Linked DNA regions of Caenorhabditis elegans. The protein of the gene in region 1 interacts with the protein of each later gene in a pairwise test. Each region holds a gene or a part of one and is shown in the gene's direction. Other genes may lie near its edges. The genes, in order: abi-1, Y50D4A.4, F41B4.1 and unc-53.

Region 1 (7,855 bases):
TCAATGTCTGCAGAAGGCTTGTTTGACGACCATCACAGGCGACCACTTTCAGTCTGAAATATTAATAATTATAGATCATCGAGAAACAAAAATTTTTATAGAAAATTAATAAACAATTGCTTTTTTCTAGATTTTTTATTTTTAATACAAATAAAAGAAACACTCACTTATCAATAGGCTCATCAAACGATCGCTGGGGATCTTTCAACGTGACATTATTGAGAATAAACGTCCAAACGTTATCACAATATCGATAAGTGAGCAGTTGTGTCGCACAAAAATTCATTTTCTCTTTTGGAAGCCGCGAGATTTGCTTGTTCATGCTTTTATCAAATTGTTGCAGAACTTTCGAAGCAAGAGATTTCGTGAGAAGTCCTTCGGATTCCATGTCCTCAAGAGTTTTATCGAGTGCCTGACCCAGTGTGGTCCCTCGGTAAAGAGCGTATGACGACATTTCTGGAAGATTCTGAAATATCGTTGGATTAAATTTTTCTCGAGAAGATGCCAGATATATTTTCAGATTATCAACCGAGAAACTATGGATTAGTATGACAAAAAAGAACAAAAACAAACAATATCTTTAGTTTTTAATGAACATCGAGATTGAATTTTTCACAAAGACATGTATAAAACAGTTCAAAATAGATAATACCAGTACAAGAAAAAGGGGAACATACATAAGAGGTTAAAATTGATAAAACGATAAGGCATTTAATCCTTGATTTGGCCCGGAAAATAAGGATTAATATTGACAACAGGGCCCGGGGCTTCCGTCACTGTGTACATCTCCTCGACGCGTATCACCATTTCTTTTCGATTTTGACGACATCCGATGAGACATTTGCGAGCTGAAAAATGCATTTTTCTTTGTTTAAAGAATTTTTAGAACAAATATTTTTAGTTAATGAATATCATCTCTTACATTTGCACTGCTTACATGGCCAATGGCACCCATCACACTCCACCACGAGACAATCACAAAGATCGAAAAACAAAGTCTGTCCTTTTGCGGTAACCGAAAGTTTTCCTGTTTTGTCATGATGCAAAGGTTCGTCTCTCAGATCCGCCTGCTTCTCCGCGGCTACACGTTTCGAGCGGTTGGTGCTAATAATATCCACAGAGTCGGGCAAAAATCGAGACATTTCATCTCCTGGATTCGCGAACTGGAGGCCTTGAAGCTCTCGGTGTGCCATTCTCGTTCGACGGCTCGTTCCTGAACTTTCCTTTCGAGATGATGGCTGCAACTTCTGGGAACTTTGTTAAAATTTTCTTTATTCAAAAGCGTACCTTTGTTTCGAAATCGTCAAAAAGCTCCGCATCGACTTCATCGCAAATCTCGGAATCTTGTTGCATTTCACTATCCGTCGAGAAATCATTTTCAAGCTGAAAAAAATACAAAAATTAAATACATTAAAATTTCAAATTTCAAACCTCTGCTGCAGCTTTCGCCAGACCGGCAATTTGTGCGAGAACGTCATTGGAGCTCATTTTTAGAATTATTGGTTCAGAAATTTAGTAGGAAATATGATTTATATCGATTTAATTTGAATATATCCGAGGAAATTCTATTATTCGATATGCTCTCCTCGCGGGAAATAACATGTGCGTACCACTTGCGAAAAAGCGCGCCGCGCGTTGCATTCTGTGACCACGCCCTCATTAATTTCTTATTCATTCAGTTCCTTTGAGTGTTTTTCATGAAATTTCTGCTGTCAATTTATTATTTTTAAAATATTTTTCTAAACGTTAGTTAACTTTTAGTTTGTTACAGATGCTACATAATGGGGAAGGCGGAATGAGTGTTAATGATCTTCAAGAGCTCATCGAGCGACGGATACCCGATAATCGAGCTCAACTGGAAACGAGTCATGCGAATCTTCAACAAGTTGCCGCGTATTGTGAGGATAATTATATACAATCAAACGTGTGGTTTAATTTTTTCTTTTAAGTTTATGAATTAAACGTTTTCAGAATAAATCTGCTGCGCTAGAGGAATCCAAGAAATTCGCGATCCAGGCACTCGCCAGCGTAGCCTACCAGATTAACAAGATGGTTACGTAAGTATTTCAATTAATTTGTTTTAATTATGAATCTTTTTTTCAGAGATTTACACGATATGCTTGCTCTACAAACCGATAAAGTGAACTCTTTAACAAATCAAGTTCAATATGTTAGCCAAGTAGTTGATGTACATAAAGAGAAGCTTGCAAGACGAGAAATTGGTTCTCTCACAACCAATAAAACATTATTCAAGCAACCCAAAATCATTGCACCAGCAATCCCAGATGAAAAGCAGAGATATCAACGAACGCCCATCGATTTTTCTGTTCTTGACGGAATAGGGCATGGTGTCAGAACATCGGATCCACCGAGAGCAGCACCAATCTCAAGAGCAACTTCATCAATTTCTGGCAGTTCTCCATCACAATTTCACAATGAATCTCCAGCGTATGGAGTTTATGCTGGTGAACGAACGGCTACGTTAGGAAGAACAATGAGACCGTATGCTCCATCAATTGCTCCATCGGATTATCGGTTGCCACAGGTGAACATTTGAAATATTCATAGAGGCTGAAAATAATTTGCTTTTCGTGTTTTTGACAAAACGTTTTCAAAAAAAAAAGGGAGCGAAAAATTCTGACATAACTTATACATTTTAAATTTTAAACTTTTTTTTCTGAAAAATACACTCAATATTGAAAAAAAAGTGAACCATTGATAAATTTATTCAAAAAACGGTTTTTTTGACCCAAAACGACCGCATTTCATAATGAGACTTCTGAAAATATCGAAAAAAAATTTAGAGCGAGCCTGAATAAGAATCTGAAATCCTTGTTACAGCAGTTAGATACAGTATTTATTGAATAATCACATAATTAATTTTGAAATTTTTTAGAAGTCTTTTTATGAAATTCAATGTTTCAGGCTAGTTTTTGTCGACTTCAGACTAAACAACTAATTTTTAAAAAATCAGCTCATTTCCTTTTCAAAAAATTAATCAAGTTTTTTCTAACATAATCCGATTACTTTTTACAGGTCACACCACAATCAGAATCACGAATCGGCCGTCAAATGAGCCACGGATCAGAGTTCGGAGATCATATGAGCGGTGGTGGTGGAAGCGGAAGTCAACACGGATCATCAGACTATAATTCCATTTATCAACCTGATCGTTACGGAACTATTCGAGCTGGTGGTCGGACTACAGTGGATGGTAGCTTTTCTATTCCCAGACTATCATCTGCACAAAGTAGTGCTGGAGGTCCAGAATCACCAACATTCCCACTTCCACCACCAGCTATGAATTATACTGGATATGTTGCACCGGGAAGTGTGGTACAACAACAACAACAACAACAAATGCAACAACAAAATTATGGAACTATTCGAAAATCAACGGTGAACCGACATGATCTTCCACCTCCACCAAATTCTTTGCTCACTGGAATGTCAAGTCGAATGCCAACACAAGATGATATGGATGATCTACCACCTCCACCAGAATCAGTTGGTGGGTCATCAGCGTATGGAGTGTTTGCTGGTAGAACAGAATCGTACAGTTCGAGTCAGCCACCAAGTCTCTTTGATACGAGTGCTGGATGGATGCCCAACGAGTATTTGGAAAAAGGTATTTTTGGAGATTTTAATTTGATTGAAAAATTGTCGGAAAAAAATTCTCTAAGCTTTTCTGTATTATTTTACGATTTAGAAAATTGGCTAAAATTGTTAGTGAAAAATTTATTATAAAAACCGAAAAAAGTTTAAAAAAATTAAATTTAATAAAAATTTAAAAAAGAGAAAAAAACAAAAAATTTTGTGATATTGGAAAGTGATTTTGAAAAATTCAAATATCTCCAAATTTTTTTTTTTTGAGAATTTTCAAATTTTGAAAATTATAAGCTTTGATTTTTTAAAAAGTTATCTTTTTAGCTTTTATTTTCGAAAAAAACGAAAAATAAATTTCCTTTAAAAACATCGGAGTATCAAAAAAATCCAAAAAGAATCGAAATCTTAAGTTGTAAAATGCGATTTTTTGCAGAATTTTTAATGTTACAAAGCAATTATATTTGTCAATTTAAACATTTTCGAAAAAAACCAATCTTTTTTTTCAGTACGGGTCCTGTACGACTATGATGCTGCAAAAGAAGACGAGTTGACACTTCGCGAGAACGCAATTGTCTACGTACTGAAAAAGAACGATGACGACTGGTATGAAGGTGTCTTGGATGGAGTCACTGGGCTTTTCCCTGGAAACTACGTAGTTCCAGTATGATAACAAGAAATGCTAACCCTGCTAAATCAATTGCTTTTAATCTCACTTTTATTCATATTCATATATTGCCTTTTGCCTCGAGTACTTGTATGTGAAAAGCCAAAAATAAACGATGGATATGTAATCATGAAGGAAGCAGTGGTCCCCTCGTTTGCAGCAGTGAGAAGCCTAAAAATAGCCAATACGACTGCTATTTTCGAGTCTCGACGCATTTCCTGAACGCATGTGCTCGTTCTCTCACTGCCCCCGTACTACTCTCTTTTGGTTTTCCTAGGGGCTCGCCTATTTAATGAGATTGCTCATTTTCTCTTCATGCACACACATTCATTCATTTTCTTATATTTTTGTGCCTTCTTATTTCTTTTCCTCTCCTCTCTAGTTTATTTTTTCTTCTATTTTAGAATTTTAAATAATTCATGTTCGGCACGACGAATAGTGACGCCAAAGAGTTTGCAAGGCGTGGGAATTGTATCTTTTTTGGTGGGCGGTGGACACAGATTTTCTTAGAGGAGGAACAAAGGTCAAAAATACAAGCAGAATTCTTGAACAGTTGAAATTCCCGCGCGATTTCCAATAAGATGACTTGGATCGCGGTGGGACCTTAACTATTGCACAGACGCAAAATTTTGTCATTTTTGCGCCAAAATACGGTACTCGGTCTCGACACGACAATTTTTTATTGGATAAAAACGGATGTGCACCTTTAAAGAGTTCAGTACTTTCAAAAATTTGTTGCTGCATGCTGCATGAAAACTCCATGAAAATTTAAAAGCAACGGAAGTTTGAAACTACAGTACTCGTTAAAGGCGCACATCCCTTTTTATTTAGCAAAAAAGTGTCGTGTCGAGACCGCATACCGTATTTTTTTATCTTTTAACTTTAAAATATGAAACTCTGCAGAGTACTCTGCTCATAAAAAGAAACAAAAATTCGCTTTAATTGGAAAATTCGAGAAACATTTCAGTCAGAAAAACAAAACATTGTTTTTTTTTTCGAAAAACACGAGACCTCAATTAAGAAAAGTCGGTTTGTTGTTTTGTTGGTGCTCTTAAACTGCGGTTAATCTTCCATTCAAAAGCATCTAATACAAAAAGTACCAGTAATTATATTTAAATCGGTTCAAATACCTCATGGGACAAATTTGAATTGGCATATTTATTTTTTGATAAACATTTTTTTTCCGACCTTAACTCTTGTATAACAATGAAATCTAATCTTGTTGCTATTAAACACAATTTCTGACGAAAAACTACGGAACCTGGTCTCGACGCGACCGGAAATTTCAGGCATAGAAGAGTGTGTACCTTTAAAGATTACCGTAGTTTCTCAGTTTTTTTTTGCAATTTTTATCCACCCCTTTTTAAAGCTGTTTTTCGAAAAACTAATTTTTCGAAAAGAAAAAATATCGATGATAATTGAACACAATTGCGTAAAACAGAATTTCGCAACTACAGTACTCTTTAAAGGCGCACTCTCTTTTGCGAAACTCTCGGTCGCGTCGAGACCGGGTACCGTTATTTTTTTTGTATTTTCTTGCAACTTGGTAATAATTGCAATCTGAATTGCAAAGAAATTTTGGTGCTCCATACGCGCATTTCAGTATTTTCAATTTTCAAAAGTTCCCTTATTTTTAAACCAAAGCACATTTCATTTCAGTGTTCTTGTGGCTCTTTTTTCTCTATTTTCTATCTTTTCAGAGTGTCCTGTGTCCCTTCTCCCCTCCCCTACCAGGGCGTGACGTCGGTACGCTCCTCTTCTTACGTCTTTCCATATCTCTGTACTCTCTGTACTCTCTCTATCTCTCTCACACACACAACAGAAAGAGCTCACCAACTTGTCTATTCTCTATTTACATATTTCGTCAATCTTTTTCTCTCTTCACAGGGGCGGCTACCGATCCGTTCTTTCGCAAAAAACCCTCGGAAATAGTAAACCCCAGAGTCATCATTGATAGTTATAAATAGACATCTTTATGTGAACTCACCTGTTTTTATTTTATTTTATTTATTGCAAAATCCATTTATCTGGAATGTTCTTTAACAAGAGTTCAAGCATCTTCCTTATTTTTATTTGAAAACCTTCAAGTTGCTTTACTCTTTTTGTTTTCGTTGTTTCAGTGATCGAAAATCAGTTTTAAAGGCTCATTTAAAAAATCTATGGCCGATTTTCTTTCAATATGCCAAAAAAAATTAGTGGCCGAACTTTCTGCTTTTTAGGCCACGTTGCATAAACGAGAACGGTACCTCAATTTATCCCTTGATTTTCAAGTTTTTTGCCAAAAAAAGAAATTAATGAAAAATATTGGTAATAACGGAGAAAAATCACTAAAAGACAGATTATTTAGTATTTAAAAAAATTGGTGGCCGATTGTTCTCTTTTTCTAGGCCACGTCGCAAGTAGCCTTTTTTTCAGAAATATTCAACAATAATTCAACATTCATATTTTCAAGACTATTTCAATAATCTGAATCGAGCAATTTTCCTATTAATAATAATAAAATCTTCAATTCCAGACCGGCCCAAATTTCAAAGAATCCCCACAAATTGAGTTATTCAAAAAAAATCGTTCTGGCGAAAATCTCCTGTTTCTTGGATTTAGTTTTTTATTCTTCCTTTCTGGAAATCCGTTTCTAAGAAAATGAAAATTCGATTTAAAAAAGAATTTAAAGCATTTTGATTTCATTTTCAAAACCTTTTAGACTTTTAGATTCACTAAAAAGTTGACAACTAGCAAAATAAAAACAAATTTAATTCTGAGGAATATGCTCTCAGAAACATGATAAATTGTCAACTAACCAGATATTGCAAAAGATCAGATCAAAATCACACAGTTTAAAATTCACCACCAATTTTCCTTATCAATCACAATTTTTATCAATTCATTTTCACCAAAAAAGTCTGACATTTTTGTAGAATTTTTCCGTTTTTCCGTGTTAACAAGATCAACTTCACTGACACCAATAAATTCCGGTAAATGATCAAAAATTAGCGCTGAGAATCAAGAAAATTTTAATCGTATTGTAAATTTGAGTACCTACGACAATGACTGAGTATTTACGTCAAAATGTGAACAAACTAGACTGCCTGTAAACATTTCTCTGTCTGTGTGCTTTTTGATACAGATACTTTATTTTTCAGTTTTGGTGTTGATTTATGAGATTAATAGATGATACTGTATGGATTTTTCTGTTAAAAATTTTTAGATCAAAGTTGCAACTTTTTTTTCCAAATAAAACTGTTATTACGTTCTTTAATTTCCCGGAATAAATGAAAATTCCAACATTTGCATATTTTTATCAAAATTTTGTGGATAATTTTTTATCCGAAGAAAAAACAATTTCCAAAAAAGAGGAAACGCCAACAAAATGGATAGGTTTTATTTTATAAAAATTGAAAGACCACACCGGCAATATCGCCGACATTTATTTCTATAAAAGAATTTTTAAAGTTTTAAAATGTCTTGTTTTCCGGCTGTTGGTGTTGCCCTCCAGCTGTCCAATGCTCATTGAGTTTTTTCTTGGCTCCACGAGCTCAAAGATGAGCTTCAGAGTTCTTCATCGGAATGTGTTTTTTTTTTGCCTGG
Region 2 (7,807 bases), on another chromosome or scaffold:
ACATGCAGCGTGTGACCGGCGCGGCGACCGCTGAGGCCGGCGGCGGCGCCGTTGTGGCGACTTTATGGTAGCCGCTGAGCGGCCGACACGTTCGGGGTTCCGCGCCGCACTGTACATGCGGCGTGGGTGGCAGGCGCGGCGACTGCTGAGGCCGGCGCGGGCGCCGTTCCGGAGATCACATGAGCGCCCTGCATGAATTTTCTAATTATTTTATTATTTAATTCGTACTAATGCCATAATAGACATGCCATTCAGTGTGTCTTCAATCTCTGCAGATGCTTTCCTTGCAGTAACCTCGGCCACGGATCGGCGGCTGTCGGCTGGCGGCGCCAATTTTCCGAATTTTGCCCCATCAGAGCAAATTTTTCGGCTGGCTGTACCAGCCGCACACCCTTGGCCTAGGCCACATTAGGTCCCCCGCCCCCCCCCCCCCCCCCCCCCGTGCGTGGCGTTTTACGAGACCATCAATGCTGAGAATGCGTATTGTGCAACATATCTGACGCACATTACATCTCCTAGCGAAGACCACAGTAATTCTTTAAATGATTACTGTAGCTCTGATACGGGAACGTAAAATTCAGAGAATGCGTATTGCGCAACATATCTGACGCGCAAAATATCTCGTAGCGAAAACTACAGTAATTCTTTAAATGACTACTGTAGTGGTTGTGGCGATTCGAGGGCTCGATTTTTGAATTATGCGCGTCAGATATGCTGCGCAATACGCATTCTCATAATTTTGTGTTCCATATATGGGCCCTGCCAAGACCGCGTCCAACGACCGGCCAGCAGGCCGTCCGGCTGAATCACAACGACTGGCACCGCAAACATTGGAGACGCCGACAGGAAGAAGGTTTTTTTTTAAATTTTTTTTAACATTAAACTTATTGAAATTAAGAATGTTCAAAAACTTAAAATTGAAAAACGTAAAACATAACTCTAGAATACGTCAAACCCAGCTAATTTTCTGCACAGAAGACCCAAAAAATCAGTTTTCTCCGACTACAGCAACCCTACAGCACCTCCTGAGCACTTTCTCAACACAAAACTCGGCAAACTTTCTTTTCGAAACCCAGCAGAAATAGTAATCCTAGAGAACAACTAGTTTTTTCTAGCTTCATATTTCACTAAAATTAAATTTGTAATGTAGTTCCCGATCGATTTTCCATCGTAATTCACTCGAATTAGTTATTAAATATACTTTCTTATCGATTTTGCGTCCTAATTTTCAAGATTCATACGGAAAGAGTGGGTAATATAAAAAAAATGGTCCCTGGTTTGATTAGAAACAATTCTAACAGCGCAGATCGATAAAACTTGAAAATTAGGGCGGAAAATCAATGAAAAAGTGCGTTTAATAACTAATTAGAGTGAATTATGACGGAAAATCAATCGCGGGAAATACATTTACAATTAAGCCCGTGGAGCCAACGCGTCCGATGACTCTGATGGATTCGATGATGAGAATAGCGATGATAATGGAGATGCTGATGGAAATGTCGATGTCGATGCACCCGGTCCGAGAGTCCCGAAACTGGAGGAGGTATGAAAATAGGAAACGAATTTCTATTCGCAATATACATCAAGCCTTTCTGTTCGTTTTCAAAGCCGAGAAAACGAGCAGCATTTCGTGAAAAATTGAAAATTTTCTGTTTTCGAATTTTAAAATTCTAAAAATTCAACAAAAAAAAAATCAAAAAATTTCGATTTTATAGAATTTCTAAAATTTGAAAAACGGAAAATCTAGAATTTTGAATTTTCAAAATTCGCTAGTTGCATAATTTATTACTTTCAGCAATGGTAATCATCTGCATCGTCGGCTCTTCTTCACATCCACTTCTCGCCCTTTATTGATCGAATAGCTCTTCCTTGTCTGTGTAAAATTCTTTCATTTATTTTATGTCGAATCGTGATATCAATAAATAGCTTGATTTGAAGTGGAAATTCTTGGCGAAGATGTTGAAAAAAGCCGGTAGTTAGTCTGAAAGTTAGATTAATTACTTATAAACGCGTATTTTAAAGGCGGAATATCCAATTTAGCTTCTGAGTCCTAATAACTATCTTCAAAAAATTAGTGAATTTCATTTTTGCCCGCTTAAGTTTTTTAAATGCGCGCGCAAAGAAATGAGTCCCCACGAAAAGGGAAGCAGAACGAAAAGGGGATCTGCAAAAAGGGGATCTGCGAAAAGGGGAGATACGAAAAGGGGAGATACGAAAAGGGGAGCAACGAAAAGGGGAGCTGGCACTGTGCCAAACGCACAAAACGCAATTTTTCTCACGCAACGCACGTTGATTTTTGAAATTTTCTTCTAGAAGATACGCTTAACAACACGCGACGCGTAACATCGGAGCATCGTTGTATCGTTTTCTTCGAGAAAAATAGCGTTTGGCACAGTGCCAGATCCCCTTTTCGTTGCTCCCCTTTTCGTATCTCCCCTTTTCGCAGATCCCCTTTTTGCAGATCCCCTTTTCGTTCTGCTCCCCTTTTCGTGGGGCCTCAAAGAAATTCTCAGTGGAGCGCGCTTACTTGGTGTCGATTTACGGGAGCGTTTCAGTTTTTCAGCGTGTTTTTACGATTTTTATCAGTTTTTTTTTTTGAGAAATAGAAATGTTTTGTGTCAATTTAGCATTTTATTAGCTCGCAATTTGAATATACAATTGTATATTCAAAAAAAAAATATTAAAAGACCCGAGTCGAGAGAAATAGTCATGAAACAGGAAACAGGAAAAAACAAAATTTAAAAAAAAATTAGATTAATCAGTCTTCAGGTCCGATTTTCTGAATGTCTTGAGCGCCAGATTTAGCAGATGGATCATCAGAAATGTGAGCGCGAATCCGGAAACTTCGGCGAATTCTGAAAAAAAAGAAAAGAAATATTTATATTTAAATAATTAATTCATTAATTCATACCGGCCGGGCAGGAGTCATTTCCGAAAACCGCTGGGAATCGAACAAGTACGTTGAAAGGCCAAAAAATAGTATCCGGAATGCAGTAGGCAGTGATGGCGGACACGTGTCTCAGAAGAAAAAGTGCGGAGAATTGCATAAAAACTTTGACAACTGTGTCGATTTTCAAGTTCCTCGAGTTTTCAGACGGGCTAGCGGCTTCCAAAGCAGCTAATTCTTCGCTGGCTTTATTCATTTCTCGATCCTTCTTGAAATATCGTGCAAATTCGGCGGTCGGAGAGATTCCGTGCAGCTCTCGCTTCAAATCGGCAATTTTTAGCTTCAACGCGACGACTTTTGGGCTGGGCTTTGGCTTGGACAGTGATTTGATCTGAAAAATATATATTTGTGATTTTAGAGTAATAATATCGAACAAACCGTGCTAGAAATGGTGGAAACAATTTGTGAGCTATAAATCGCAAATGTTGCAGAACAGATTACAGCGATGACATTGAAAATTGATATTTGAACCGGTTTCGACTCGTCCATCTGAAAATTAATGTGAAATTTATTAATTTTGGACATTTTGGAAGCAAAAATCCGTAATTTCTTAAGAAATATAAATTAAAATTAAATATAAAACAACGACACTCCGAAATTCCGCACAAAGTCCGCAATGTGTTTGCGTACTTTGCATTTTAATTGACGACATTTTTTTCTCTTTGGTTATTTTTTATCTATTTTTGCAGAAAAAATAATAAACATTAAAAAAAATGCTCGAACTTGGCGCCTCATTCATCCCGTTCGAACCAGACCGCTCCTCTCACGACGGAAACATCACGCGCAACTTTTTCGACTGCTCCAGCCAGCGAATATGCACAATGAGGAACAACGGGGCGCTGGGACTCACTTCGAAATCGCTGAAAAACGATAAAATAATGAATGTCCGAACAAAGGATCGCGGGGAGCCTTCTACTGTGAAATTTTCGCCCGATGGCCGGCTCTGTGCGATGCAACGCACCCCAACCACCGCAGACGTGGTTTTTTTGGAAAAAACCGAGACTTCTCTGTGTTTGGAGTTAACAGTCAACACAAAGTCGAAAGAACCATTGCTGGCAGTTGAATGGGTCACTAATAATCAGGTTGGTTGGAGCGAAAAAAAATTGTAAAAAAATCAATTTTCGCCTGAAAAAATCGATTTTTGCAGCTCCTCCTCGTGAACAACCATAGTGCCGAATTATTATACATTAATGAGGATAAAAAGTCGTCGAAATTGTTAAAAGCGACAAATGTCAACGCTGCATGGGCAATTTATTATGTAAATTCGAACAATTTGTCAAGATTTTGGCGGCGCCAGTGGAGAAATTGCTTTAAAACATGCCTATGGTACCAAAACGACCAAATATCATGGTAAAAAATTGGAAACTTTTTTATAAATTTTATATGATTTTTTGAAAATTGAAAAAATCTCAGTTTTTGCCTAATTCCTATTTGAATTACCGCCAATTGGATTTGTTCGATGGAGCGCGCTTGCACGTATTTAAATTTATTTATTTTATTTGTTTCTTATTTTCCACCGATTTTTATTGTTTTCGGTGTATTTTTGCTCGAATTTTAGAGAAAAGGCCAAGATAAATGTAAATTTTCGATTAAAAAGCACGCTTACAGGCGTAAAAATGACAAAGTAACGATTTTATACGATTTCGAACCTATTAATATAATTAATTTCACTAATTTACGCCTGTGAGCGTGCTTTTTAATCGAAAATTTGCATTTATCATGACTTTTTCTCTAAAATTCAAGCAAAAATACATCGAAAACATTAAAAATCGGTGGAAAATAACAAAAAATAAAATAAATAAATTTAAAAACATGCAAGCGCGCTCCATCGAACAAATCCAATTGGCGGAAGTTCAAATAGGAATTAGGCAAAATCTGAGATTTTTTCAATTTTCAAAAAATCATATATAATTTAGAATTTTTTTTTTGAATTTTTTAACCATGATTTTAGGCCATTTCGGTAATTTCCCCACTGGGCGCACTCCACCTTTAAATTTAAAATTTAAACACATAAATTTCAGGCGCCCAGTCAGCTGCTTCTCATCGCAAATGGCCAGTCTTGTTCATATCTTCAGCCATTCGTTGTGACGCACTCCCAGTTTACTAGAATGAAGGGGTTTGAAGTCGATTTTGGAGGATCCATATCGAAGGAGAACTTTCTGGAAAAAGACGCGGCGATTGCCACGATGTAATATCGCTTCCATGGAGCGCGTTTGCTGACCCTTGCCGTTGAAAATTGCAGTTTTTTAAAAGCTTTATCACAATTTTTTCGCGCAAATTTGAACGAAAAATATTATTTTAAATGGATAAAATCGAAGGTTTTGGGCAAGGATACAAAATGAACGAAAATCAACGTATTTTTAACTCAAAAACTCTTTACCGGTTTTTACCGGATTTTTACAATTTTCAACTGAAAAACTCCAATTTTTCCGGAATTTTTACGATTTTTAGCTTTAAAAAACTCAATTTTTTCCGGATTTTTACAATTTATAGTTGGTGGGCGGCAAACGGGACTTCCGGCGAATTGCCGGAATTTAAAACTTCCGGCAAATCGGCAATTTGCCGAAATTTAATACTTCTTGCGAATCGGCAAATTGCCGGAATTGAATATTTCTGGCGAATCGGCAAATTGCCAGAATTGCCGGAATTTAAAATTTCCGGCAAATCGGAAAATTGCCGGAATTAAAATTTCCGGAAAATCGGCAAATTGCCAGAATTGCCGGAATTTAAAACTTCCGGCAAATTGCCAAAATTGAATACTTCCGGCAAATCGGCAAATTGCCAGAATTGCCGGAATTTAAAACTTCCGGCAAATGCCAAAATTGAATACTTCTGGCGAGTCGGCTAATTGGCAGAATTTAAAATTTCCGGCAAATCAGCCAATTGCAGGAATTGAATAATTCCGGCAAATCGACAAATTGCCGGAATTGAAAACCTCCAGCAAATTGGCAAATTGCCGGAATTAAAATTTCCCTCAAATCGGTAAATTGCCAAAATTTGAAACTTCCGGCAAATCGGAAAATTGCCAGAATTGCCGGAATTTAAAACTTCCGGCAAAATTCGGCAAATTGCCAAAATTGAATACTTCTGGCGAGTCGGCTAATTGGCAGAATTAAAAACTCCCGGAAAATCGGCAAATTGCAGGAATTGAATACTTCTGGCGAATCGGCAAAATGCCAGAATTGCCGGAATTTAAAATTTCCGGCAAATCAGCGAATTGCAGGAATTGAAAACCTCCAGCAAATTGGCAAATTGCCGGAATTTGAAACTTCCGGCAAATCAGCGAATTGCAGGAATTGAATAATTCCGGCAAATCAACAAATTGCCGGAATTGAAAACCTCCAGCAAATTGGTAAATTGTCGGAATTTAAATTTCCGGCAAATCGGCAAATTGCCGGAATTAAAAATTCCCGGAAAATCGGCAAATTGCAGGAATTGAATACTTCTGGCGAATCGGCAAAATGCCAGAATTGCCGGAAGTTAAAATTTCCGGCAAATCAGCGAATTGCAGGAATTGAATAATTCCGGCAAATCGGTCAAATTGCCGGAATTGAAAACCTCCAGCAAATTGGCAAATTGTCGGAATTTGAAACTTCCGGCAAATCGGCAAATTGCCGGACTTTAAAATTTCCGGCAAATCGACAAATTTTGCCGAACGACAATTGGGATTTCCACATTGAAACAATTATTCCTATTTTTCAGATATGGCAGAGTTTATGTGCTAGTGTTCAAATACAGTAACCGGAACGCCACAGTGCTCGATCTCTATGAATTGCCATTTGATGCGGCTACAGGACCCAGTTTCAAGCATTCATTAATTTTAGGTGCTGAATAAAATTAATTTAAATTTTTTTTTTAATTTATAAAAATAAACAAAAAATTAATCAAAAATAATTTTCAGGATTCAATGGTGGCTGTGGTATTCATGTAATCGATAATTTGGTCGTTGTACATCACCAGGCGTCGCAAAAATCGCTGATTTTTGATATAAGAGTCAGCTCGCCGAGCAAGAGTCATTCACCTCTTGTTGTCACCACAATAGGTACTTGAACGACGACTAACGGAGCTTTTCAGAAAATTATTTTTAAAAAATTTTAAAAAAAGGAGCAACACATGTTCAAAAATTTAATCTATTTTTCGAAAAATCAAAAAACTAATTCGAAATTTCGAAAAAATTTTCCAATTTTTTTTTAAATTAAAAAAAAAGTTAGAAAATTAACTTGAAATTCGATTTTTTTTACCAAATTCTGTTTACATTGAAAATTTATTGATTTTCTGAAAAATTGAAAAATCAATAAAAAATTGATGAAAAAAAAAACTAAAATTTTCATCAATTTTTCGAAAAAAAAATTCAAAATATCGGAAAATCGAAAGTTATTAATTTTTGATTTTTTTTTAAATTAAAAAATGTTTGTTTTTCGATTAAAAATTTCGATTTTTAAAAAATTAAACCGATTTTATTCTAAAAAATCGAAAATTTTTCGTTTTTTATTTAAATCGGAAAACAAACATTTTTCGATAAAAAAAAACGAAAGACAAAAATTTTCCAAATTTATTCATAAAACCGAAAAACGAAAATTTTTCGTTTTTTTTTTAAATCGAAAAACAAAATGAAACCGAATTTTATTTTTTGAAAATCGAAAAAAAAATCGATTTTATCAAGAAAAAACCAACATATCGGAAAATGGAAAATGATTAATTTTCGATTTTTAAAATCTCGAAACTCGAAAAAAATTAGTTTTTCGATTTTATTTTTATAAAAACGCCAAAAAATTTTAATTTTCCGATGTTATAAAAAAACCGAAAATTTTCCGTTTTTCTACGTAAAAACGAAAAAATTTCGATTTTTTTAAAATTAAA
Region 3 (7,142 bases), on another chromosome or scaffold:
TCTTCTGTTCTCTAAATATTGAGTGCTTTTCGATGCCCTATGTAGACAAATCAATGGGAAAATTGTCAATTTCTGAAGGCAGTAATTCTCAAAATCTTCTGTTCTCTAAATATTAAGTGCTTTTCGATGCCCTATCTAGACAAATCAATGGGAAAATTGTCAATTTCTGAAGGCAGTAATTCTCAAAATCTTCTGTTCTCTAAATATTGAGTGCTTTTCGATGCCCTATGTAGACAAATCAATGGGAAAATTGTCAATTTCTGAAGGCAGTAATTCTCAAAATCTTCTGTTCTCTAAATATTGGGTGCTTTTCGATGCCCTTTGTAGACAAATCAATGGGAAAATTGTCAATTTCTGAAGGCAGTAATTCTCAAAATCTTCTGTTCTCTAAATATTGAGTGCTTTTCGATGCCCTATGTAGACAAATCAATGGGAAAATTGTCAATTTCTGAAGGCAGTAATTCTCAAAATCTTCTGTTCTCTAAATATTGAGTGCTTTTCGATGCCCTATGTAGACAAATCAATGGGAAAATTGTCAATTTCTGAAGGCAGTAATTCTCAAAATCTTCTGTTCTCTAAATATTGAGTGCTTTTCGATGCCCTATGTAGACAAATCAATGGGAAAATTGTCAATTTCTGAAGGCAGTAATTCTCAAAATCTTCTGTTCTCTAAATATTGGGTGCTTTTCGATGCCCTTTGTAGACAAATCAATGGGAAAATTGTCAATTTCTGAAGGCAGTAATTCTCAAAATCTTCTGTTCTCTAAATATTGGGTGCTTTTCGATGCCCTTTGTAGACAAATCAATGGGAAAATTGTCAATTTCTGAAGGCAGTAATTCTCAAAATCTTCTGTTCTCTAAATATTGGGTGCTTTTCGATGCCCTTTGTAGACAAATCAATGGGAAAATTGTCAATTTCTGAAGGCAGTAATTCTCAAAATCTTCTGTTCTCTAAATATTGAGTGCTTTTCGATGCCCTATGTAGACAAATCAATGGGAAAATTGTCAATTTCTGAAGGCAGTAATTCTCAAAATCTTCTGTTCTCTAAATATTGAGTGCTTTTCGATGCCCTATGTAGACAAATCAATGGGAAAATTGTCAATTTCTGAAGGCAGTAATTCTCAAAATCTTCTGTTCTCTAAATATTGAGTGCTTTTCGATGCCCTATGTAGACAAATCAATGGGAAAATTGTCAATTTCTGAAGGCAGTAATTCTCAAAATCTTCTGTTCTCTAAATATTGAGTGCTTTTCGATGCCCTATGTAGACAAATCAATGGGAAAATTGTCAATTTCTGAAGGCAGTAATTCTCAAAATCTTCTGTTCTCTAAATATTGAGTGCTTTTCGATGCCCTTTGTAGACAAATCAATGGGAAAATTGTCAATTTCTGAAGGCAGTAATTCTCAAAATCTTCTGTTCTCTAAATATTGAGTTCTTTTCGATGCCCTATGTAGACAAATCAATGGGAAAATTGTCAATTTCTGAAGGCAGTAATTCTCAAAATCTTCTGTTCTCTAAATATTGAGTGCTTTTCGATGCCCTATGTAGACAAATCAATGGGAAAATTGTCAATTTCTGAAGGCAGTAATTCTCAAAATCTTCTGTTCTCTAAATATTGGGTGCTTTTCGATGCCCTTTGTAGACAAATCAATGGGAAAATTGTCAATTTCTGAAGGCAGTAATTCTCAAAATCTTCTGTTCTCTAAATATTGGGTGCTTTTCGATGCCCTTTGTAGACAAATCAATGGGAAAATTGTCAATTTCTGAAGGCAGTAATTCTCAAAATCTTCTGTTCTCTAAATATTGAGTGCTTTTCGATGCACTATGTAGACAAATCAATGGGAAAATTGTCAATTTCTGAAGGCAGTAATTCTCAAAATCTTCTGTTCTCTAAATATTGAGTGCTTTTCGATGCACTATGTAGACAAATCAATGGGAAAATTGTCAATTTCTGAAGGCAGTAATTCTCAAAATCTTCTGTTCTCTAAATATTGAGTGCTTTTCGATGCCCTATGTAGACAAATCAATGGGAAAATTGTCAATTTCTGAAGGCAGTAATTCTCAAAATCTTCTGTTCTCTAAATATTGAGTGCTTTTCGATGCCCTATGTAGACAAATCAATGGGAAAATTGTCAATTTCTGAAGGCAGTAATTCTCAAAATCTTCTGTTCTCTAAATATTGAGTGCTTTTCGATGCCCTATGTAGACAAATCAATGGGAAAATTGTCAATTTCTGAAGGCAGTAATTCTCAAAATCTTCTGTTCTCTAAATATTGGGTGCTTTTCGATGCCCTTTGTAGACAAATCAATGGGAAAATTGTCAATTTCTGAAGGCAGTAATTCTCAAAATCTTCTGTTCTCTAAATATTGGGTGCTTTTCGATGCCCTTTGTAGACAAATCAATGGGAAAATTGTCAATTTCTGAAGGCAGTAATTCTCAAAATCTTCTGTTCTCTAAATATTGGGTGCTTTTCGATGCCCTTTGTAGACAAATCAATGGGAAAATTGTCAATTTCTGAAGGCAGTAATTCTCAAAATCTTCTGTTCTCTAAATATTGGGTGCTTTTCGATGCCCTTTGTAGACAAATCAATGGGAAAATTGTCAATTTCTGAAGGCAGTAATCCTCAAAATCTTCTGTTCTCTAAATATTGAGTGCTTTTCGATGCCCTATGTAGACAAATCAATGGGAAAATTGTCAATTTCTGAAGGCAGTAATTCTCAAAATCTTCTGTTCTCTAAATATTGGGTGCTTTTCGATGCCCTTTGTAGACAAATCAATGGGAAAATTGTCAATTTCTGAAGGCAGTAATTCTCAAAATCTTCTGTTCTCTAAATATTGAGTGCTTTTCGATGCCCTATGTAGACAAATCAATGGGAAAATTGTCAATTTCTGAAGGCAGTAATTCTCAAAATCTTCTGTTCTCTAAATATTGGGTGCTTTTCGATGCCCTTTGTAGACAAATCAATGGGAAAATTGTCAATTTCTGAAGGCAGTAATTCTCAAAATCTTCTGTTCTCTAAATATTGGGTGCTTTTCGATGCCCTATGTAGACAAATCAATGGGAAAATTGTCAATTTCTGAAGGCAACCTATGCATGTGTGCACCGAAACATTAAAATTTCATTTTGTCAAATTAACCATGACAGTAAGGCATTAGGGTTGTTGTGTTGTTTTACCACTAGATTCGCATTTTTCTATTCTGAGCAGTTCATCAAATCCCTTTTAACACGGGAAAAACATTTGACACCAACCAGTCTCCACGGTGAAAAATGAAGATGAGAAAAATGCTTTTCTGATCGACAACCATGCACAGATGTTACCTCCCACACAATGGATGTGGCCCGTAGCAAAGAGCTGGTAGAAAGAAGATAAAAAAAGCGATCACAAGTGAGACGAGACAAACAACAACTGAAAAAAAAACAGATAGAAGCACAAAAACTTTTCTTTCTAACCCACATTACACCGTCACGCTCTATCGCTGAACCTCTTCGACATCTGAACTCTTCTCCTGTGTCTCTAGTCATCAAAGTTTTGTCACCGTCGCGAAATAGGTTTGGCACTGCCAAAGAGTTTTCTGCTTTTCTTTTCTTCGTTTCTGTTTTTCACTTTTCTTCAATTTTACTTCAACATTTCAGAAATGTCCTATTCGACCTATCTACCGAACAACTATCACAATGATGTAAGCTACCAAATTTCTAGTTTAATAATGTTTTTTGTATTCGAAACTTTCAGACCAAAATTTGCATTAATGGTGTGGAATTATTGAATCGACATGAAATTTCTTCCACTCAAGATCGAGAGCTTCAACGATTCATCGACAACAATGCTCATATAATTCAATACCAAGAGAGGGAACTTCGTGAGTTAAAATTACAGCATTCTAGATTAACATAACCAATTTTTTACAGCTCCACCGCCTCCTCCACGTAAGACGCCATCTCACAAATATGAAGAAATGAGAAGAAGTTTGAGCCGTGGTCCATCTTCAACTCTCGAGCGGTATAGCTCGATGGACAAACTTTTGGGATCACAAAATCGCGAGAAAAACGTTGAAATTGAGCAAGGAATTAATCCGAGAGACTTACCAGTATGCCCGAATATTGACGGACACAATTATACAGCAGAATTTCCTGGACTCGAATATTTATCCGACAACAAATTTATTGAGAACCTTATCAAAGCCGGTCAGGTTTCCATCGGAAATACGGGAATGATCAGTCAGCCAGGCTCCCGTGTTGGGTCCGCGATGAGCGCTCCATACTCTCAAAACCAATCCGCAAACTCAACTCTGACCCGTCAATCGCATTCTCAATCTCACACCCTTCCTCATCAAATGCCGCAGTATCAGCAATATCATCGCCACGCGACGCCACCAGCACCCGCACCACAACATCAAAACAACACCAATTATTACACCGAAAATACGACCTCCACTACCAGCTACCACCCAACAAGTGTAACATATGGTAGCTCAAATGCTAACAGTCAATATGGAGGCAGTCAGAGTCAATATGGAAGTATGAGCAATGTCGGAACTGGAAGTACTTATGGAACACTGAAAGGTGGCATGAAGCATACATCAACTCTCCCGCCAACAAGCCCATACAGCAGTTTGAAGAGGTAATATACAAATACAGAAAATATAATTTCAAGCTAATGATTTCTTTGGCAGAAATTTCATTTATTAGACAATTTAAAGATACACTATGTATAGATTCATTAAAAATACACTATATATGGTATAGATTATGTATAGAAAGATAGTTTCAAATTTAAGGTAAAACTGAATTACATAACTCGTTGAACTAGCTCTTTAAAAACTATCAGAATTTTTTGGCTATGTGACACCTCTTGTCAATTACAGCATGAATTAAGTTTCAGAGTTATTTGTTATTAATGAAATTGTCTAGTGAATCCAGACAGACAAATAACAGTTATGACATTAAATGTCTCATCTGGTAATTTTTGCCACTGTCCCAAAAATATAACCTCTTTTCTGGAGAGTCTATTATATGTTAAATAAGATTCTTAAAATAGTTAATAACCGAAAAAAGACGCCAAATTTATTTCATTGGTACATACTTTATTTGGTTTGCCAAGGGCGCTAATACAAATATAAGAAATGAACCTGAATTCCTAAACAAAATCTATTTGCAGAAAAGGAGTGAGCTGGCTCGATCAGGAACGTGCGCGTTCACTGTCTCCAGGTCTACATCAATCCACATCTACAAGCCGACATGTTCATCAACAGTACAATCGTCCGGCTTCGACGATTCACACAACGACTTACACCACTACTTATTAACTCCTCGATATTCTATGTATAATTTTTTCAAATTTTTCTTGCAATTTTTTTTCAGAAAAATGTTCTTAAAATTGTTGCACGCCAATTATCTTCAAAAGCTTCAAATTGTGCTCTACGTAACTGTTAATTTTCTTTTTCCTCTTTTCTCCCCGGTCAAGAATTTTCTGCCTGTTCGTATTTTTATGTGTTTCGTTTTCTTTTCTTTTCTCGCAAGAATTAGTCGAAAGCATATGTGTACAATAAAATGTTACACCCCAAACCAAATCCACTTCATAACTCGATAGTCATCTGGAGAAACCCGCCCAGTCATGGGAAAACAATGCGGGTTTAGGATTAGGAATAACAGTTCAAGTCTCATGATATCATGAAACAATCAAACAAATGCCGATTTTCTTATTATTTTTTAATAATTATTATTGATGGACAGTTTTTTTCACAATTTAAAAATCTTAACCAACTGATCTTTGGATCCAATCAAAAGTTCGAAGATAATTTAGCTGCTGTGAGAACTCTTTTGTTTTGTGCACCTTTTCATCAATTTTTCAAAACCACCGATCCGAACGGCGCAAGATCGTCTGCTGAGAGATAAAGAACAAGAGAGAAGAAGTGCCGTTGTGCCATATGTTATCGAATGATATCTCTTCTCCCTCCTCCCACTCGCCGCCGATTCCCGATGCCATCGTTTTCTTTCGTCCTGCTCTTCGGCCCGAGACAGAAAGACAAGAAACGGCATAAAGATATTGAGAGTCGCGTGGCAAATTCTTTTTTTGCTTTCATCATTTTTCTTGATCCTTCTGATTCTCAACTTTTTTCAATACTTTTCTCTTGTTGTAACTGTCATTTTTTGCCAACTTTGGAGAAAGACGTGTACTGTTTTCAGAATACATCCAAACTCAAACAACATGTCTGAGTACGGCAGCGCTGCCAATTTAAGTAACTTCCGTGAAAGAACCGGAAGTCCTTCTTATGCTTCCCTTGGAAAACATAGGGTTCGTTTATTTGATTGGTAGATTTTTTTTTAATTCAGTTCGAAATTTTAAAATATTTTCAAGTTTTCGTTTTTTTCGGCGTGAAATTCAAGAACTATTTGAATGACCCATATTTTTTTTACTGTATATAAAACACTTATTCCGTCTTTTTTTAGTTCAGAGTAGAATTTCTGTATTTTCAAAAATGTTTTTTTCCAAAATTAATGTTCTTGTATGTCAACGGTTATTTTATATTTCCTTAGTGGCCTACCCTGGTATTAAAAACTGATACATCAATTTATGATAATTCTGTTTTGAACTTGATTCCAAACAAATCAATCATGAAAAACGCTACGATAAATCCGAAATTTTTCCGTCTGTTGGGTGCGTAGGCGCAAAACAAAGCTCACTGCATTCCGTGTTGTAAAGTCAGAAACAGATATCTTTGGATCCCTCGATGAGACGATGGCGGGAAGGAGAGCATCGTTGTCTCAACGATCAATACTCAATTCAATGACGTATCCGTTTCATTGCTTTTTCGGCGACCCACGCGGGATAAGAACACAACAATCAAAATTGAATAGTTCATAAAACGCAAAGTGTTTGGAAAACTTGAACAAAATATATGAATTCCAGGACGATTACAATCGGTTTGAAACTGCCCGCCACGCGATGAACAGTCGTGCTAATCGCTCCCAAACTAGTCAGGAAAAGGAGGAAATCCGTTTTGGAGGATTCGGCGACCGTGCTGGAAGTGGAGTTGAGCTGACCGGCTTTAACTGGTCTGGAGGAGAAGTGAGCAGTTTCAATGACATTCGCAAAAATAGATATTTATGTTTAGGTTATCAACTCTCCACAACAACTTCC
Region 4 (7,849 bases), on another chromosome or scaffold:
AGCTATCGAAGCTTTTCTGCCTTTCAATACTGGAGCCATCTGAAAAGTTGGTAAATGCATATGCTCAGGAGGCAATGAGGCGACTTACCCTTATATTTTGTAAATTGTATTTCAATTAGACCAAGTTTAATCAAATACCGAAGTAATCAAAAAGTGAATCGATTTGTAAAGTTTAACGAGAAAAAAATTAGGCTTACGAGAAAATTTGACAATTCGAGATCTTTGGAATCTCACGTTTTAAATAGTTTTATGATTTGTATTCTTTCTTCAACCCAACTATCATTTAATGATTTTCTATTATCAAGAAACCACCAGCTTCTGAAAAAATGGCGGCGCAAAAAAGAGATATTTGCGCTCCAAAACGGTAGATATGAGAAAAATATCAACTGGAAAGTTGCTGACAACATAATAAACAACAAATTGTTAGTTGACCGTTTTTCAAGGACTGTGGAGATTTGAACATCCCACTTGGTGTCAGAGTATCCCATTTTGGCTTATTTACGTAGATCTACAAAAAATGCGGGGATGAGACGCAGAGTTATCAACTGATATGGTTGAGAACTTATGTAACATTTTTTGGGCGAAAAAATTCCCACATTTTTTCGTAGATCAAACCGTGATGGGACAACCTGGCACCATGTGGTCCAGGTGTTATTTTCAAATTTTTAATCAGATGGGTCGCACGAAGATGTTGGTTTAATTTTTGGAACTCGTAAAATAACTTTATGGCATTAGAAATTCCTCAATGAAAATTAAAAACAAGCGCGGCGGGACCCATTATCAGCATAAATGCAAATATTGGAACAACTTTTGTCTATCAAATCATCGAGGTGCAACGGCGCTACACTGCCCCTAAAATTTTGGTCTCGTTAGGTTTTGGCGACAAAACCATTTCTTGGTATTTTTTGTACTCCAAGAATTTCCTCTACAAATGTACTAGTTGCTGCTAATGATATAAATAACATTTGGAGAGACATTGGGTTAGTATTCCCAAAGTGTTTTCATCATCATCGTCTTGTTTCTTTTTTTTTTTCGCTTTCTTTTCAGCACTTCATGTTTTGTTTCCGTTACTCGGGTTTTTCTTTTCCTCTTTCTTCTTCTGCCCTCTGTCTTTTCGTTTCCAAAAAGAGGGAAAACTAACTCGATTTGGACGTTCGGAGCAACAAGCTTCACCCGCCTGGCTCTTCTCTTTTTGTTTTGGCTCATCAATTTTGTCTATTCTCTCCGGCCGTGCCAAAGGAACCAGAATTGTGCAATTTCTGGTCTTTTCCGGAAACTTTCCATTTTGATTTCAGTTTTTGTTGGACTAGGATCCCAAGTCATGTTGGAAACAAAAAAACATCGTTTAGCCCGATAGCCCATGTGGCAATGATTATTTCTTTGTGGGTGGTTGGGCAAGCTTTATGTAGTTTCGGAACTGGAATCAGGAGGCTAACTATTTAATTATACAACGATTACTATTTCATATTATACATTTCCCACATTTTTGCAAAAAGCAAGGATGGTTTAGTTCTTATAAATACCTTATTTCTTCTAGATATTTTTTAACTTTGACAGCTTATATCTCTGTTGTCGTTTATTTTATACAAAAATTGTCAACTGGTGTCAGTTATTTTTCTATCGCTGTTTCAAAATGAACCAAGGTGTACACCTTTCAAATTAAACTAACCAGGTACAATACTAAAGGAGGAAATACATTTATTTTTTTATTTTTTTGTAAATCTAGATCTAGATGCCATTTTTGTTTCGAAAAATGCATGTATTTAGTATTTTACAGTTTTGGCAATTTTATAATATTCAAGTTCTGGCAATTTTATGATACTTTGAGATATAGTTAGATTTAAAAATTGCTGGAAATGGCAAGTAACTTGAAATTTTGGCAGCTACCAATATTGTCAAAATTGCCTCGCCAGATGTACCATACCATTTCCAAAACTACTAAAAACCGAAAATTCGCCAGCTATGCTTACAGTTCAAAATTTCTCTAGGTCACAGAAAACAAAATCTGCCAATTTCCACATGACCGAATTGAGCAACCTGTTGCGCATCTGTCATCTTTCCGATTCGGCTGTATTTTTACAATTAGTTGAGTTTTCAATTTTGGCAAAGTATTGTTAATACCATGATACCATCAGCTAGAGCTGTAGAGATTAAAAATCACATTGTTAAATGTGATTTTTAATTGCAGAGTCTTGTGCCACGTCAAAATTATTCAGTGTACACTGTATTTTATCAGCATCAATAGAGTATAGTTTCTGAGAATAGTTTTTTTTCAAATTAAAATTTCCAGACTCACAGGGATATTTTGCTAGAACAAATTGTAGATTCTGAAAACCCGAAATTTCAGCTACCGCACAGTTACAAAAATCCCTAGTAAGCCAGCGTTTCAGAGCGTTTCCAAAAACATATGAAAATTTTCTATAAAACTGAAAATTGTTCAAATCCTCATCAGAAATTTTTACCAGTTTCTGGTAACCTCAACATTTTTTAAGGGGGACCTTCTAGCTGGAACTTCACAGCTAAAATTTTCAAACGGTTTGATTTGCCAATTTTCCTGCTACCAGGAAAATTCCAAACAACCATAAAAATTTTATTATCCAACAAAACACCCACGCTCTATAATCATATTCTACCACCAACAAATAGTTTTCATTCTCCTCCTTTCCCTGCTACCAAAATATTTTATGAGACCCTTAAACAAATCATTTAGGCCGCCCATGAAGGTGTTGTAGTTCTGTCATCATCCTTCTGCATAATCCACAATGTGACAACGACATGATCGGTGTCTCTTTTTTTCCTTTTCTTCTCACTTTTCCATGTTTGTTTAATCCCCATCCGCGTCGCCGCTTCCTGCCCATTTTCTCTAGTTTTTATTCCATCCTGGGTTTGTATAATGGAATTAGCACATTTTTGGAGTAGTCAGTGTATATGCATCTTTTTGAGCTAAATTGTTATTTATTACTATTCATTGTTTATATTAATTTTCTGTGGAAGGTTCTTTTAAAATTATCTTGCGGTCCCACGTGGCAATTGGAAATTTCCGCCAATCGGCAATTTAAACAATTGCCGGTTTTGGAACTTCCGGCAATCGGCAACTTCGGCAATTTTCAAACATAGTTATATTTTGGAAATCAAACATATTTAACCTTGTTTATTAGTATTTGGTTAGTCATTTTTTGAAAGTAAACGATCAATCCTTTTAGGATTAAATAATTTTGAACTTGAAAATTGAAAATTGTTTGTTAAAATGCATGTTTAGGCTCCTAAATCTACAAAAGTATCAAATTTTTATTTCCGGCAATTTTTATTTCCAGCAATCGGCAATCGCCGGTTTTCAAAAATTTCGGAAATCGGCAATTTCAGCACTTTTGTTCGTTTTCTGCCCTTATCTCATAGTCCTTCTGTATGCAGAATCATATCATTTCCAAATTTTCAGACATCAATTCCATCGAACGAAATGTTGGTGCTCCGAATAAAATGACGACGTCAAATGTAGAATTGATACCAGTGAGTTCTCTCTGTGTCAGATTATGCAAATGTACTACTGACTACTCTTTTATGAGTACCCATCCACTCACTAGTAGAAATGGACAAAATTCAATCCTCATGGGACTATGATTCCACTTTTTTTTAGAGGGAAAGAGTTGGGATTGTTAGAATTCCAGAGTTGCAGAGAAAACGCAACACGGTTGATGGATGATGGTTTTTTTTTGGGGGGATCTTGAGCATTTTTTCGGGGAAGAGGAATCTGGAAAAGTACAATGATTACACGGAGAATGGATACTTTTTTTTTGAAATGAAGGTGTCCTAGATTTCGGGGATTAGGCAAAATTTCTATTTTTCAAAATTTCAAGTAGAACTTTCCAACGGAAAAAATTAATTGTTCTCTAATTTTTTAAAATAGTTTTTGCACATTTTTAGATCTTTCTGAAATGAACATTAGAATTTCAGTAGGTACCAGGGGTGTGCGGCAAATGTGCCGAATTTGCCGTTTGCTAAGCCCGGCAAATTTCAAAAAAGTTGATTTGCCGAATTCGCCGCACATGGCAAATTTTGAAATTTGCCGCGCACGTAAAAAATTTGACAATACAATTTGTTAAGAATTCAGTAGTTTTGTTGCTCCAAAAAATTGCAAAGAATATGACATTTTTCGGAGTTTGTTAAGCACTGCAAATTTATCAAATTTTCCGAGCTCTGCAAGTTTTGAGATTTGCCGCACAGCACTGGTAGGTACCCCCAGATTTCGAGGAAGAAATCCTCTTCCAAATCACAATTCTTTCGGAGCAACACTTTTTTTAAAGGATTTTTCTGTCTTCCCAAAGAGCCTTCTCAATCCAAACTCGATTTGAATAATCTCAAGCCGTTCCAGAGTAGCTTTTCCCATTTGGTTCATCCCATTTCCTGCCTCCTATATTTCCGTCGAAATATGATTCGCCACCGCCGCCCCGAGGTGAATCTTGAATTGAAAAGTGCTTCATCATCTTCTACTTCTTCTTCTTCTCTTGGTGTGATGCAAAACGAAATGATTCAATTATTGGCACGAAGCTGTCGCATTCACTTGTGTGTGTCCCTGATTATGAGAGGATGCTCACCGCGTGTTGAGCATACCAATTAAAATGGGAACGAACGGAAGGAGGAGGAGGGAAAAGCTGCTTTTGAAAACTAATTATCCCCTCTATTTTCCTCCTAGATGGGCTCCCGGAGCAAAGTTTTGGTGGCATGGTATTCATGCCACTTTTCCCTGTTAACATATGCATTGCTTTGACGCTTCGTTCCGAAACATGCAAAATTGGAAGTCAAGAAGCGGGATGGAAAAGAAGTGATGGAGGATATGCATTTCAAGTTCAAAAGTAGTTGAACTCATGATTACATATAAAATTGTACTGAAGAACTTATGGGAAGTTTTGAAGTTTTGAAGGAAATGGGAAATTGAGATGTAGGGAGTGTTCTGGAAGATTTTGGATTTTAACAATTTTTGAGAACAAAACATGTATGTTCTTCTTTGTTTCTATACAAATTTTCGATTAAAACCCTTAACATTGGATTGAGAAAAATGTGATTTTGTGTATTTTCCAATAAAAGGATGCATGTCTGTCAATTCTGTCGAAATTTGTCAATTTTCAATTATCCAAGAAGCTTGGAGATTTTTCATAAGATCTTGAAAGAGCTCCTCAAGGTAGGTAGGTACATATTACTGCCTACGTGCCTACATACCAAGTTCATTTGCACATGTGTAGATTTACAAAATATTTGGCAGTAGGTATGTAGGCAAGGGTTAGGCGTAAGTAGTACCTTGTCTACATATTCATCTAGTTGTCTATAATAATCTTTTCTGATAAAATTGATATTAATTTGAAATTTTTGAAAAGTTTTGGTACTCAGTTTGATGTTAACCATATTATGGATAATTGCAACTTACTATAACTTTCATATTCCGGAAAATTTTTAGAAAAATTTAATATGAATATCTACGTTTTAATGTTACCCGATTAGTCGGCGATCACTCATTAAAAATTGGTGAAATCAGAAAAACAAACGGTTCGGTTTTCTGGAATTCAGTGTCGAGTCTCTAGTTTGATCAGTTTTCCAAATTCAAACCAGAGAGTTAATATTAAAAAATTTTTCAAAGGCTTTAAAAGTAAATTCATAAAATCCTATTTTCAACTCCATAAGTGCCCATTCCATGACCATTCTTCCCTACAACCGGAACCACTGGAAATCTTATGGCGGTCTAAGATTGAATGCAAATAAATTCACACTTCGAAATAATTACCATTCTATTTTCGCGGCTGGTCCATCTTCTTCTTCGTCTTCTTTTCCCGAAAAGAGTGGCTCTCAGTTAATTCAAATCAGTTTGCGAGCACATCTAAATATATCCGCATGTTTACCGCTTTCTTCCCTACAACCGGAACCACTGGAGCTCCTCTCCCCGGGTGCAACGTAATCCAGTGTTAATGCTCACGGTGTGGGGGTTCCAATGAGCAGTGTATAATTAGCTCATTCTTACTAACTAACTGATGTGGTGTTCTTTTCTCTTCTCGTCATCAGAAGTGCAGTCACACACACATTCACACTGATTCTTTACCGCGCAGGCAGCTGTGAGGGGCAAAAATGTGGGCGTGGTTTGTTATGAACTGGAGAGGACCTCGAAGCGTTTTGGAGCAGCTTTGTGGCTTTAGTAGAAAACATTTTATGCGGATTCATGGACACCCTTCCGCGGATGAATTCCGCAAACTTGGCAGTGGATTCTATAAAGGTTTGGATGGTTTTTTTGTAACTGTTATTTTATAGAACAAGATATACTGAACTGAAAAGATTTTATGTGAAAAATCAACTACATTGTCAGCATTGAGTCGGCGAATCGCTTTGCCTAATTATTTTTCAAATCGAAAGTCATAGGAGCGAACTGTGTAGGTCATTGGTGGGCGGCAAACGATTTTTTCCTACAAATCGGCAAGTTGCCAAATCGCCGGAATGGAACAATTCCGGCAAATCGGCGAACCGGCAAGATGCTGATATGTTGAATTTGCCGGAAAAAACGGCAAGTGCCGAACATTTTCGGCAAATTGTGGTTTGTAAAATTTTTTTGGAAATCTTTTTCTGAATTCTGAAACGTAAGCAAATTCTATGAAAATATCCAGAAAAAACGGCAAAAAAAATTCAAAAAGTCACAGTTTTAAGTGTTTCCGTCTTATAAAAAAAACGGCAAATTGATTTTCGAGAAACAGCTATAATTGGCCAAAAATCAAAATTTTGGGAAAATCGGCAAACCGGCAAACCAGCAATCTGCAGCCCACTCCTGAAGTGTAGTCAGACACGTTATTCATAAATTTTCTGAAACGATCTGTGTGTTTTTTCTGAGAAACTCCAATTAACTTTCTAGCTGTAACTTCAAGAAATGTGTCCACCGTCCCACCCCTCCAATCTGAAAGGTTTAAAATTTGCTGAGAAATGGACGTACAACGTCTCCTGTCGTCTTCCATCAAACCAATTGATTCTCCAGATGAGGCGAAAGAGTTCTCCCTTATCTTCATTTTCATCTAATTCTCTTCGTCTCCCACACTCTCTCATCGTCCAGGGAATTCACCTTTGGCGAACACACACCCACTACATCTCCAGCTCTTCGGCAATGAGTTCTCTGGCTTCCATTTTCTTTTTCGTTCTGTTAGAAATAGTTTTGACTGCGCTTTACTTCTATTCTAGGCCTTCCTTGCCTACCTCATGCCTACACCAGAAAACCCAGAAAATAAATCTACTGCCCTTTTTTTTTAACGAGGCACAAAGACCTAAAACTTGCATTTGCTCAAAACTGTTCTGGGGTCTTGAATATTGTAAAATTCTAATTTCTGAATTTATCTTACCTAATTTACCTAATTAGTTTCTACCACTCAATTATTCTTTGCAACAATAGAATATGTAACTCAAAAGAGCTCTACACCCACCGAATTTCCTTACTCTTCTTGTTCTCATTATTATTATTAGTTCGCGGGTCCTCCCTCGCCTTTGAAACCAATCAAATTTGTGTCCACCACGAACGTGTTTATTCGTTTCGCAAAAATGTGGCCTCCGAAGGTGTTGCATTTCACCAGCAGGGAGTCCATATTGTTCATGTTTGAGCATATGTTCACTGCTTCCCATCAAACAACGATACTCAGATTTCCATGTACCAGACAAACATAAAACTCAAAACCAAACACATTCCCAGAGTTGGAAGATGTCTAATAAGGCAGAATTTTTGATTTCAGGATAGATTTTTTTAGTTTGTGATTCAATTTGATTTTCTCTTAAAAATTAATTTAAATTTAGCTTGAACGTTTTCAAAACAATAATATGATATTTGTTTAGTAAA

The links.
Region 2: the proteins of abi-1 (region 1) and Y50D4A.4 interact in a two-hybrid assay, tested with the Caenorhabditis elegans proteins (2 studies listed by BioGRID).
Region 3: the proteins of abi-1 (region 1) and F41B4.1 interact in a two-hybrid assay, tested with the Caenorhabditis elegans proteins (2 studies listed by BioGRID).
Region 4: the proteins of abi-1 (region 1) and unc-53 interact in a two-hybrid assay, tested with the Caenorhabditis elegans proteins (one study listed by BioGRID).

What each region holds. Positions count from the first base shown.
Region 1 is NC_003281.10:5,686,647-5,694,501, reverse strand, and holds abi-1 (SH3 domain-containing protein), read left to right. Parts: upstream 1-1,771; 5' UTR 1,772-1,795; coding exon 1,796-1,924; intron 1,925-1,971; coding exon 1,972-2,057; intron 2,058-2,103; coding exon 2,104-2,545; intron 2,546-3,036; coding exon 3,037-3,628; intron 3,629-4,112; coding exon 4,113-4,273; 3' UTR 4,274-4,395; downstream 4,396-7,855. Other genes in the region: B0336.13 (Transcription initiation factor IIA small chain homolog), read right to left, coding at 1-53, 168-454; arle-14 (ARF7 effector protein C-terminal domain-containing protein), read right to left, coding at 712-848, 923-1,247, 1,288-1,383, 1,432-1,488.
Region 2 is NC_003283.11:1,191,947-1,199,753, reverse strand, and holds the start of Y50D4A.4 (Mic1 domain-containing protein), read left to right. Parts: upstream 1-3,626; 5' UTR 3,627-3,660; coding exon 3,661-4,029; intron 4,030-4,094; coding exon 4,095-4,205; intron 4,206-4,968; coding exon 4,969-5,135; intron 5,136-6,649; coding exon 6,650-6,771; intron 6,772-6,848; coding exon 6,849-6,989; intron 6,990-7,807. Other genes in the region: Y50D4A.6 (uncharacterized protein), read left to right, coding at 712-853, 1,419-1,543, 1,796-1,804; wrb-1 (Guided entry of tail-anchored proteins factor 1), read right to left, coding at 2,755-2,855, 2,912-3,278, 3,326-3,436, 3,671-3,682.
Region 3 is NC_003284.9:6,822,314-6,829,455, reverse strand, and holds F41B4.1 (ZM domain-containing protein), read left to right. Parts: upstream 1-3,593; 5' UTR 3,594-3,639; coding exon 3,640-3,681; intron 3,682-3,734; coding exon 3,735-3,861; intron 3,862-3,910; coding exon 3,911-4,622; intron 4,623-5,159; coding exon 5,160-5,307; 3' UTR 5,308-5,571; downstream 5,572-7,142. Other genes in the region: gei-15 (GEX Interacting protein), read left to right, coding at 6,210-6,296, 6,912-7,070, 7,117-7,142.
Region 4 is NC_003280.10:11,085,044-11,092,892, reverse strand, and holds the start of unc-53 (Adapter protein unc-53), read left to right. Parts: upstream 1-3,477; coding exon 3,478-3,507; intron 3,508-4,592; exon of another isoform or gene 4,593-4,788; intron 4,789-7,849. Other genes in the region: rpl-42 (NAM-associated domain-containing protein), read right to left, coding at 1-39. UniProt on the Caenorhabditis elegans protein: Involved in the migration and outgrowth of muscles, axons and excretory canals.